Xenopus tropicalis: one gene and its partner. The protein of the gene in region 1 purifies or fractionates together with the protein of each later gene. This does not show direct contact. Links are inferred from orthologs where the notes say so. Each region holds a gene or a part of one and is shown on either strand. Other genes may lie near its edges.

Evidence for each region.
Region 2: the proteins of pnn (region 1) and ncbp3 purify together in Homo sapiens (co-immunoprecipitation; 3 studies listed by BioGRID and IntAct, counting the BioPlex papers as one, with this or other methods). This does not show direct contact. The link is inferred for Xenopus tropicalis from reciprocal best matches to the Homo sapiens genes PNN and NCBP3.

The regions. Positions count from the first base shown.
Region 1 is NC_030684.2:104,735,041-104,739,408, reverse strand, and holds the start of pnn (pinin), read left to right. Parts: upstream 1-1,266; 5' UTR 1,267-1,348; coding exon 1,349-1,461; intron 1,462-3,661; coding exon 3,662-3,739; intron 3,740-4,368. Other genes in the region: trappc6b (trafficking protein particle complex subunit 6B), read right to left, coding at 972-1,070. UniProt on the Homo sapiens protein: Transcriptional activator binding to the E-box 1 core sequence of the E-cadherin promoter gene; the core-binding sequence is 5'CAGGTG-3'. Capable of reversing CTBP1-mediated transcription repression.
Region 2 is NC_030678.2:48,483,826-48,488,426, forward strand, and holds the start of ncbp3 (nuclear cap-binding protein subunit 3), read left to right. Parts: upstream 1-1,799; 5' UTR 1,800-1,909; coding exon 1,910-2,038; intron 2,039-3,152; coding exon 3,153-3,218; intron 3,219-3,349; coding exon of another isoform or gene 3,350-3,370; exon of another isoform or gene 3,371-3,478; intron 3,479-4,601. Other genes in the region: tapasin-related protein, read right to left, coding at 3,350-3,370. UniProt on the Homo sapiens protein: Associates with NCBP1/CBP80 to form an alternative cap-binding complex (CBC) which plays a key role in mRNA export. NCBP3 serves as adapter protein linking the capped RNAs (m7GpppG-capped RNA) to NCBP1/CBP80.

The DNA of each region.
Region 1 (4,368 bases):
TAAGTCACCTCTGGCAGTAAAGATTTATGGCGGCGACTAATCGTGCCGTTTGCCACCTCCCTTACTTATATAAACTGTAGGGCAGATGACACAAGGAGATTAGTGCCCCCCAATTAGCCTCCTCTAGCAGTGGCAACTAATCTCCTCTACCTTGCTTTTCTACCAGCAAGGGTGTAAATCGCCGCTAGGAAAATATAGGTGCTGCTTTTTTTTTTCCAGGGGGGACTGTGTGTTAGCACCCTAGATTTCCTGAAGCAAACACACATTTTTTACCTGAGAGTAATCTATTACACAGTAAGTTTCCAATAAAAAAAAACTTCTTTAACATTGAAGCTTGCATTTGCACATGAGTCAGCTGACAGGTTCCACCACAGGAACACATAGGGGTATATTTATCATGCTGTGTAAAAAATGGAGTGAAACATCACCGGTGATGATGCCCAGGGCAATCAGAAATTAGATTTCAACAGTTAGAAAACCAAAGCAAAGCATCTGATTGGCTGCTATGAGCAACATCACTTTTAATGCTTTACTCCACTTTTTACACAGCATGATAAATATACCCCTATAGACTTTTACAATTGTATGTTTTCTAATGGACAAAAGGCAGAGCAAAACGCTGACAATTTCTTATCAGAAAGTTAGTTCAGGTGATTTCTGTGCTGTCTGGCACCATTTATAGTAGCTCTGAGGCACAGCCATACTGGCATTTGGTGGATTTTGCTACTTTAAGATGCCATTAGCAGTCACTATTTAATGGGTCTATGGAGGCTGATAAGGGCTCTGTGTACTTCAAATACCAAAGCCTATACTGAATCACAGGGAGTTGTGGTCCAAACCAGCTAGAAGTCCAGTAAGGGGCACCTACTCGTATGTTCTGCTTTGCTGTACGTTGCAATTATGGTGAATGCTGTCAGCCCCTGTGCAGCCACTCCCCATACATACCCCTTTCTAATTCGACACTGACTTACCGCATCCCCCTGGTCACCGCCGGCTTTATACACACAGGATATAACCTCATTGTGCAGAAGCAAAAAGAGGGCTTCATCAGCCATATCCTGCTTGTTCATGCCTACAGCAATCTCTATCTCTGATTGGGCGAAGATTCGGGGTGGAAAAAAAAACAGCAAATTACTATTGGTTCCAGGGCAAATCTCTGACAGCAAAGCCCATTGCACGACTCTTCCCTGTAATTAGTTAACATTATCGCCCCGCCCCCTTCCCCCCACGGGTCCGCAATGTTACGTTCCACTTCCGCTTTAGGACTTTCAGTGCGCTGGCTGCTGGCTCTTGATTAGTTTGTTCAACGACCCGGAAGTGATTGAGACGCGCGATTAGGGCGGAGAAAATGGCGGTGGCTGTGCGAACTCTGCAAGAGCAGTTGGAAAAAGCAAAAGAGAGCCTAAAAAATGTCGACGAAAACATACGGAAATTGACTGGCCGGGACCCGAATGAGACTAGGTGGGTTCCAGGATTAATGCATGTGTTGTGGTATTAAGGTTCCGCTCTGGTTCCTGGTTGGGTTGCGCCGCATGGCAGGCATGGTGTATGAAGCATTATACAGGCCACTGCCCTCATACAAACTTCCAGAAGGGCCTGCGTGCAGGCGATATCGGCCTTAGGCTGCAGCTAATTCGTGAGAATACGCAAGGCTGATGGGCTTCTTTATCATTTGTGCAAACTCGCAGGCCGTGCTGCAGCATTGTGTTTAATGAATGGTTCTGCCTGTGTAGCCCTGTGTGGCTTACATAGTGCTTATTAGGCAGTGAATGGGCTTTAACGCTGAGGCAATCATCTGCGGACGCGGGGAAACTATGTTTTTGTTGCGGAACTATTTTATTTTACTACAGTATTTTACACATATTACAACAAAGGGCTCCAATCCCTATTTCCCTTTCTAAATTGATTGTGCCGAGACCAGGCTTCCCTATACAGATATAAAAGCAAATGTGTCTATATATAGCTATGGGACTTGTGGTACTACATTTAAATTGCAGCCCAGCCTATCAGGCATCTGCACTTCCTCCCAACTGTTTGTTTATACAGTAGTAGTGTTTGTAAAGCAGACTGCAGTGGAGCCATGGTGGCAGCCGCTCAAGTTGAACAAGGCAAAAGGGCTCCTACAGCAGATCAATAAACTTTGTAGAGTACAATGAGTGCAGTTCTTACACAAGTAGAAAAATAAGGGGTCAAATGCCTTTCATGGCATTAAACAATACTATAGAATTAAAGGGGCAGTTTACATTTAAATTAACATTTGGTATAGTAGGCATTTATATTCTGAGACAATTTGCAATAGGTTTTCATTTGTTGTGGCTTTTCAATTAGAGCTTTTTGTTCAGATATGTGGTTACTGGGGTCTTATTTACCTTAGCAACCAGGCTACTTCTGGGGCCAGTGGACACCCCCCCCCCCCCCCCACTGGAAATAAGCAGAAGAGTAAGGCAAGTAATTAAAATCTGTTTAAAAGTTGCTAAGAATAGGACATTCTATAACATACTAAAAGTTAGGGTAAAGATAGTGCTTAAAACCCTTCTCACATACAATAGGGTAATTTGTTGCCAAGTAATAGTTTTCAGATCAAACGTTGAATGTATAAAAATATTTTTACTTTTTGATGTTACTGGCCCTTTAAAGGAACAGTAACACCAAAAAATAAAAGAGCTTTAAAGTAATAAATATATAATGCACTGTTGCCCTGCACTGGTAAATCTGGTGTGTTTGCTACAGTAACACTACTATAATTTATTTAATAAGCTGCTGTGTAGCCACGGGGGCAGCCATTCAAGCTGGAAAAAAGGAGAAAAGGCACAGGTTACATAGCAGATAACAGATAAGTTCTGTAGAATACAATAGTGTTTTATCTGTTATCTGCTATGTGCCTGTGCCTTTTCTCCTTTGAATGGCTGCCCCCATGGCTACATAGCAGCTTATTTATATAAACTATAGCAGACTTTCTGAAGTAAACACACAATGTTTACCAGTGCAGGGCAGCAGCACATTATATTTTAGTTACTTTTATACACTTTCATTTTTTGGTGTTACTGTTCCTTTAAACAAAAGCACATATGTGAACTGGCTGTTTTGTGTAGGATCCTAACTAGGTTTCTGTTATACATATGACACAAATATGATGGGTCTTCATAGTGGTTACCTTGCATTCTCTAGCACCTCAGATCTTGGGTCTTTTATATTTGTGTCTCAAACAGATTTTCAGTGTGTTGTTTTTGTTGAGCATTAAGAGCAAGTGTCAGACTTTGCTAGAATCACTTTTTTTTTTTTTTTTGACAATTGCTGAACATCAGCTACTTTGGAAGAAGCATGTGTAGACAGCAATAATATAAAATATTATTTGTGCCAGTTTGTTAATGTGGATCCACCTCTGGAAGGGAAAGGAAATCTTTCTGCAATGCAAATGCTGATATTCAGCTCTTAGTGATGCAAATAATAATTTAGAAATGTTAATTGTGTATTATACACTGGGTATACTTACATGTTTTTAGCATCCTGCTTTTTTCTTACTATCTCTGGTAAGTTAGTTTCACTTTCTTTGGCTGCTGATCGTATACCTTTCAACTCTACGTTTATAGTAATAATCCTTTTATTGATTGGTGCATACATTTTCTGTGAAAACTGAATCAGTGTTCCTAATTTGTTTCAGGCCTGCACAAGCAAGACGACTGTCCCTCACAGGTCCTAATGTAGTTGGAGGTAGAGGCCGCGGTGGGATTTTACTAAGGTATGAAACTCATTGACATATTTAAAATCGTTGTTTATTACTTAAGTGAACTGTTTGTTGTGCCTGTTCCAGTTTGCCATTTTGAATATTCACAGTAAAGATTTGTGCACTTCTGTTGTACTTAGATGCTTAGCCTATCAGGTCATGGTAACATTACTGGGGGCCAAGTTGTTAGGCGCACCCCCTTTGAAAAAGATGAGCACCGGAACGTGGTAACAGGTTACAGACTAGAATCACTGGTTATACCTAAGCGCCCCACCCCCCACTTGTCAGTATACACCCCTTTTTAACATTAACTGAATGAATATGACTTGAGCTTGAACATACTTTTTGCCTATTGTTTAATTAAGAAATATCTATGTTTTTTTTTTATTTCTGGTACTAAACAAGAATGAGTCCAGTTTAATTTTAGAAATTGCTGGTCTTCAAAAAAAAAATTTTAGAGGAGCTGATCAAACTAATTACTTGTCTGCTGAGAAGCCCCTGATACCAAGCTGCTTAAAGGTTGCTGCGTAGATAAAGAAGAGGTTTAAGATGGGTACTCAGAACAAATTCTGAGGGGAATTCATTGAACATAGTGCAACTTTTAAATTAGTGTTTTATTTATTTAGTCAATTCAGTAATTGACC
Region 2 (4,601 bases), on another chromosome or scaffold:
CTGTTCTAATGCAATCTCCTCCACACCTGTCAAAATTTCCTGCCCAGTCCCCAGTGGAAATGCACAACCAGTGCATGCCACCCCCCCAATCTTTGTGTTCTTAGGCCCGGGCCTTTGTGGCCTGCTCACAAATCCGGGCCTGATTAACCCCAGCTGTGCCCAGGGTCGAATTGGCACACCAGGCCCTGCCACCTGCCCACATCCTGCTCCGCTGCTTACCTGCTGTGAAAAAAATACAGATGGCCATACATTTTAAAGTGAAACACACTGCTATCTTTAATTTTTCACATTAAGTAAGCAGCAGGGGAGCAGCGCTGGGCGCTTGAGTCAGGTATCCGGTGGGCCCTGGGTAACCCAGTCCAACTCTCGCTGTGCCAGTATAATCACTTGCACAAATGGCCAGTGAGCACTCCATTAATCTGAGACAAGCCTGTAAGATCACTGAAAGATTGCCAGTGAGCACTCCAATACCTCCACTCATGCCAGTAAGATCGGTAGATATAGTGAATGTATTACCTACACTTGCACAAGCAGAATACCAATAGTAAATGTTTTCTTTTCCTTGCGCTATCTCTCTACTTGGTGCTCTATCTCTGCCTGTCTTAAGGTGGCCACTTTAAGTTTTGCTCGCTTGGTGAGAGAGCGGATCTTCTCCCGATATCCCCACCTACGGGCCACCTGGGGCCAGATCGGGGACCGCATGGGCTCACTGATGCGGTCCCCAATCCAACTAAATCTTTTAACCTGCCCGATCGATATCTGGCCAATTTCAGGTCAGATGTTGGTCAGGCAGGCCCGTCGTTGCTGCCCCTACACTGGCCGATATGCTGCCGAATCAGTCTAAGTTTTAGATGCCTGTTTAGACGCCTGTGAAAAAAATCCAAGTTGCTCATGTGTTTCACTGTGGAACACACAAACTTCAGGTTTTGTTCTGAAAAGCAGGGATCAAAGAAGAACAGAAAATGTGGGGTGCAGGGAGAAGAAGGCAGCAGTGGCATGGGGGTAGGGCTAAGGTGGAGCAAGGGAAAACATAAAGACATAGTGGTACGGTGGGTTACCCAAATCAGTGGGCCCTGGGCAGATTCCCCGTTTGTGCCTTCATTTTGATGGCTTCTGGATTTTAGCATATTAAACATTTTAGGGATGAGTAGTTTCTACACCAAATAAACTATCCTTGTGCAATGGTTTTTGGGTGTGGTTTGAATGAAAACAGTATTACCCCCACTACAGTCATTATACACTTCTGGTTCTATATTTGAGGTAATCATATTATTTGGTTAGAGTAATTATTATGTAATTATTTTTATAATAAAGTTAATTTGCATTATTATTGACATAGTCACGTATGAACACAATCAATACCCATATACTGTGAAAGGCAAGCAATGCAGCCCCTCTTGCAGCATTGGGTATGGATGCCTGCCAGCAGGCTGTGCGTCAGTTAAAGGAAATTCTTGATGTGATTGATAATATTAGGTTGGGGATAGAACTTTCTGCATCAAATTGCATTTAGGGGAACGCGTAACATTTTTAACTCTTGGGTGTAATAGCCACTACTATATGTTATCTTATACAAAGAAAATAAAAATTCGCGTATTATGTGTAAACCCGCATCCTTCAGCCTGTTTCAGAACGCCATAGCGCCTTATGTTTTAATAAAACGAAACATAGCAGTAAAACTATCCCGCCCCCTTGTCGCTTCTGTAAGGTCACACGCCAAAACATGCCTGTGATAGTAAAGTTATGTCATCACGCATTTGCGTCTTGGCTTGTGGCCACAACCAACATGGCCGCCGCCCCTTCACCTGCGGGTCATGTGCCGAATCCCTTCTAGCCTGTTAACACTCGTACTCTATCATTGCCGGGGTTTGTGGCAACCGGCTGTGTTCGGAGCTGTATTCGGCGTGAAATGGCGGCGGTGCGAGGGCTTCGGGTGTCTGTGAAGGCGGGCGGCGGCGCTGAGCCCGAACCCATGGAAGTGGAGGAAGGTGAGGTGGAGGCCGCAGCAGACCGGGCTTCCCCCCGTGAGGTGGTGTCGGTAAGTTGCTTTTTAGGGCTCCAATAGAAATGTACGGTATCAATGCCTGATTAGTATGGCGACTGATAATTACCTGCGTCAGGTCGCCACACAGTAGAAGCAAGTCATATCACATACAACAGGCCGGCCATTCATTCTGTTGCTCGCCTTGACTGGCTCTGTATTGTGGGAAATGCAGTTCAGCTGCTAAAGTTCCAAGCCGAATGAGAATAAATGGGAGCATAGTGGCTAATCTAACAGTACAGACAGGACATTATGACTTCTCCCCTACAGAGTTTCCCCCAACAGATTTCTGTTTACCCAGGAGCTGAGGGAGCTCCCCCCGTTGTTTAGCCCGGACATTCCCCTTAATTCTGGTATCAAAGCCATTGCAGATTGTAGCCATGACTAAAATGCACTTAATGTAGATGTCTACCCTGGCACTAGATAGACCTTGCGCTATAATGTTAAGCACCAATAAAGGCAAAAATGGTCTGCCATGGCTGTCCTATAATACCCATCTGTGGAGTTCTGGCCCCTCAGGCATTCTGTGAATATGGAGTGATATTCTGCTTTTTCTTGATTCCCTCTGTGTTTTACCCCCAGAATAGAAAATAGTTATTTGTGTGGTACAGTGAGACCGTTACACTAATATACACGTTTAAAATGACAACATCAGGGTCACACTGGAAAATGGTACAGCCATAGAGACATCCACAAACTGTAGCAAGAGGTGTAGAATAAGGGTGATGACACATGGAGCAACTAGTAGCAGATACTTGTCACAGCTACAGAAATAGACAATGCTGATCATTTACTGATAATTGTCTCTATGTGTGTTTTAGCAGAGGCAATTCTCAGTATTGTCTATGGCAGGGTATTTTCTGATGTTTAGTAGTGAAGACAAGTAGCTGCTTCTAAGTAGCTCAGTGTGTCTTCACCTTAAGGTGTAAAATAAGTACTAAGTATTTATAAGTATTTATTAGTGTATAGTACTATATAGTACTAGTATTTATGTATGTGTGTGTGTGTGTGTGTATGTACTGGATATGGTTTAATAATATACAGTTTCTTTCCAAATATTTTGCGTCTCTTTGGTTCGTCCATTTTCTCAAATACATTTTTGTTTTAATAGGGCAGTAATCGGCGTTATGAGAACAGGGCTGGGACCTTTATTACTGGGATTGATGTCACTTCAAAGGTAAGAAAAAATGTTTGTCTCAAGAAAGCCTTCTGTAGGGGCAGTTCGGCCATTTGTGAAAGAGGTTGATGTAAACATGACCATATATGGAACACTTCATAAATAGTTTCAAAAAGAAAGTTAGATCCTACCTTTTTGGAGCACTGGAACATATCTTGTCTGGTACAGTCCTGGAATTTAAGGGCCAGTGCCAAAACCTCTTTACACGTTTCTACTCAATTTGTGTCTGTATGTTATCCACGGCTTAGATCCTGTGTCAAACACAAGGCTCATGGGCCAAATGCAGCCGCTGGCTGTTTTATATGGCCTGTGGGGAATGTGCCTGACTGTGCAGCACCAATCACGGAATGATGTAATACGCCCCACCCACCTTGCATGGCAGAACGAAAGCAGCTGCTCGGAGTGGCACTGGGACTGGAGCAGCGAGGTCAGGCACAATCATAGCACCACTGGGACTGAAGCAGCATAGTCAGGTGATTGCGCGGTCAGGCACAGTCACAGCGCCACTGGGACTGGAGCAGCGTAGTCAGGCGATTGCGCGGTCAGGCACAGTCACAGCGCCACTGGGACTGGAGCAGCGTAGTCAGGCGATTGCGCGGTCAGGCACAGTCACAGCGCCACTGGGACTGGAGCTGCACAGTCAGGCGATTGGTGCTGTAAGGTCAGGCATAATTACCATGGGCCACACAAAACAGGCAAAAGCAGCTGCTTCCACAGCACTGCGACCCTGCGCCACAAGTTTGCACCTGGTGGATGTGTCTTGTCCCACGGTTCCCACAGTTTGTAATTTAACTGTTTTGCCTACAGTTTGCTTTGTGCTTGTAGTTATTTTCAAAACTTGATTAATGCAGGAGGGTGGCGTGTAATATGGTGTTTCAAGGTGAGGAAGGATTTATCCTTCTACTACAGGTATGGGACCTATTATCCAGAATGCTCAGGACCTGGGGGGTTTCTGAATAAGGGATCTTTCTGTAATTTGGATCTCCATATCTTAAGTCTGCTGAAAAATAATTTAAATATTGAATATACCCAATAGGATTGTTTTGCCTCCAATAAGGATCGATTCTATCTCAGTTGGGATCAAGTACAAGGTACTGTTTTATTATTACAGAGAAAAAGGAAATCATTTTCAAAAATTAGAATTATTTGCTTATAATGGAGTCTATTGGAGAAGGCCATTTCCTAATTTGGAACTTTCTGGATAATGGGTTTCCGGATAACAGATCCCATACCTGTACTAAGTATTTTAATAAAAAATTCAGCCCGTGACTTAGCCTGTGTTTTATATTCCGGCCCCCTTATGTGAGTTTAACTCCCCTGGCTTAGATTGTATGCTCTATGCGACAGGGATCTCCTTCCTACTGTGTCTTTTAGCACATGGCT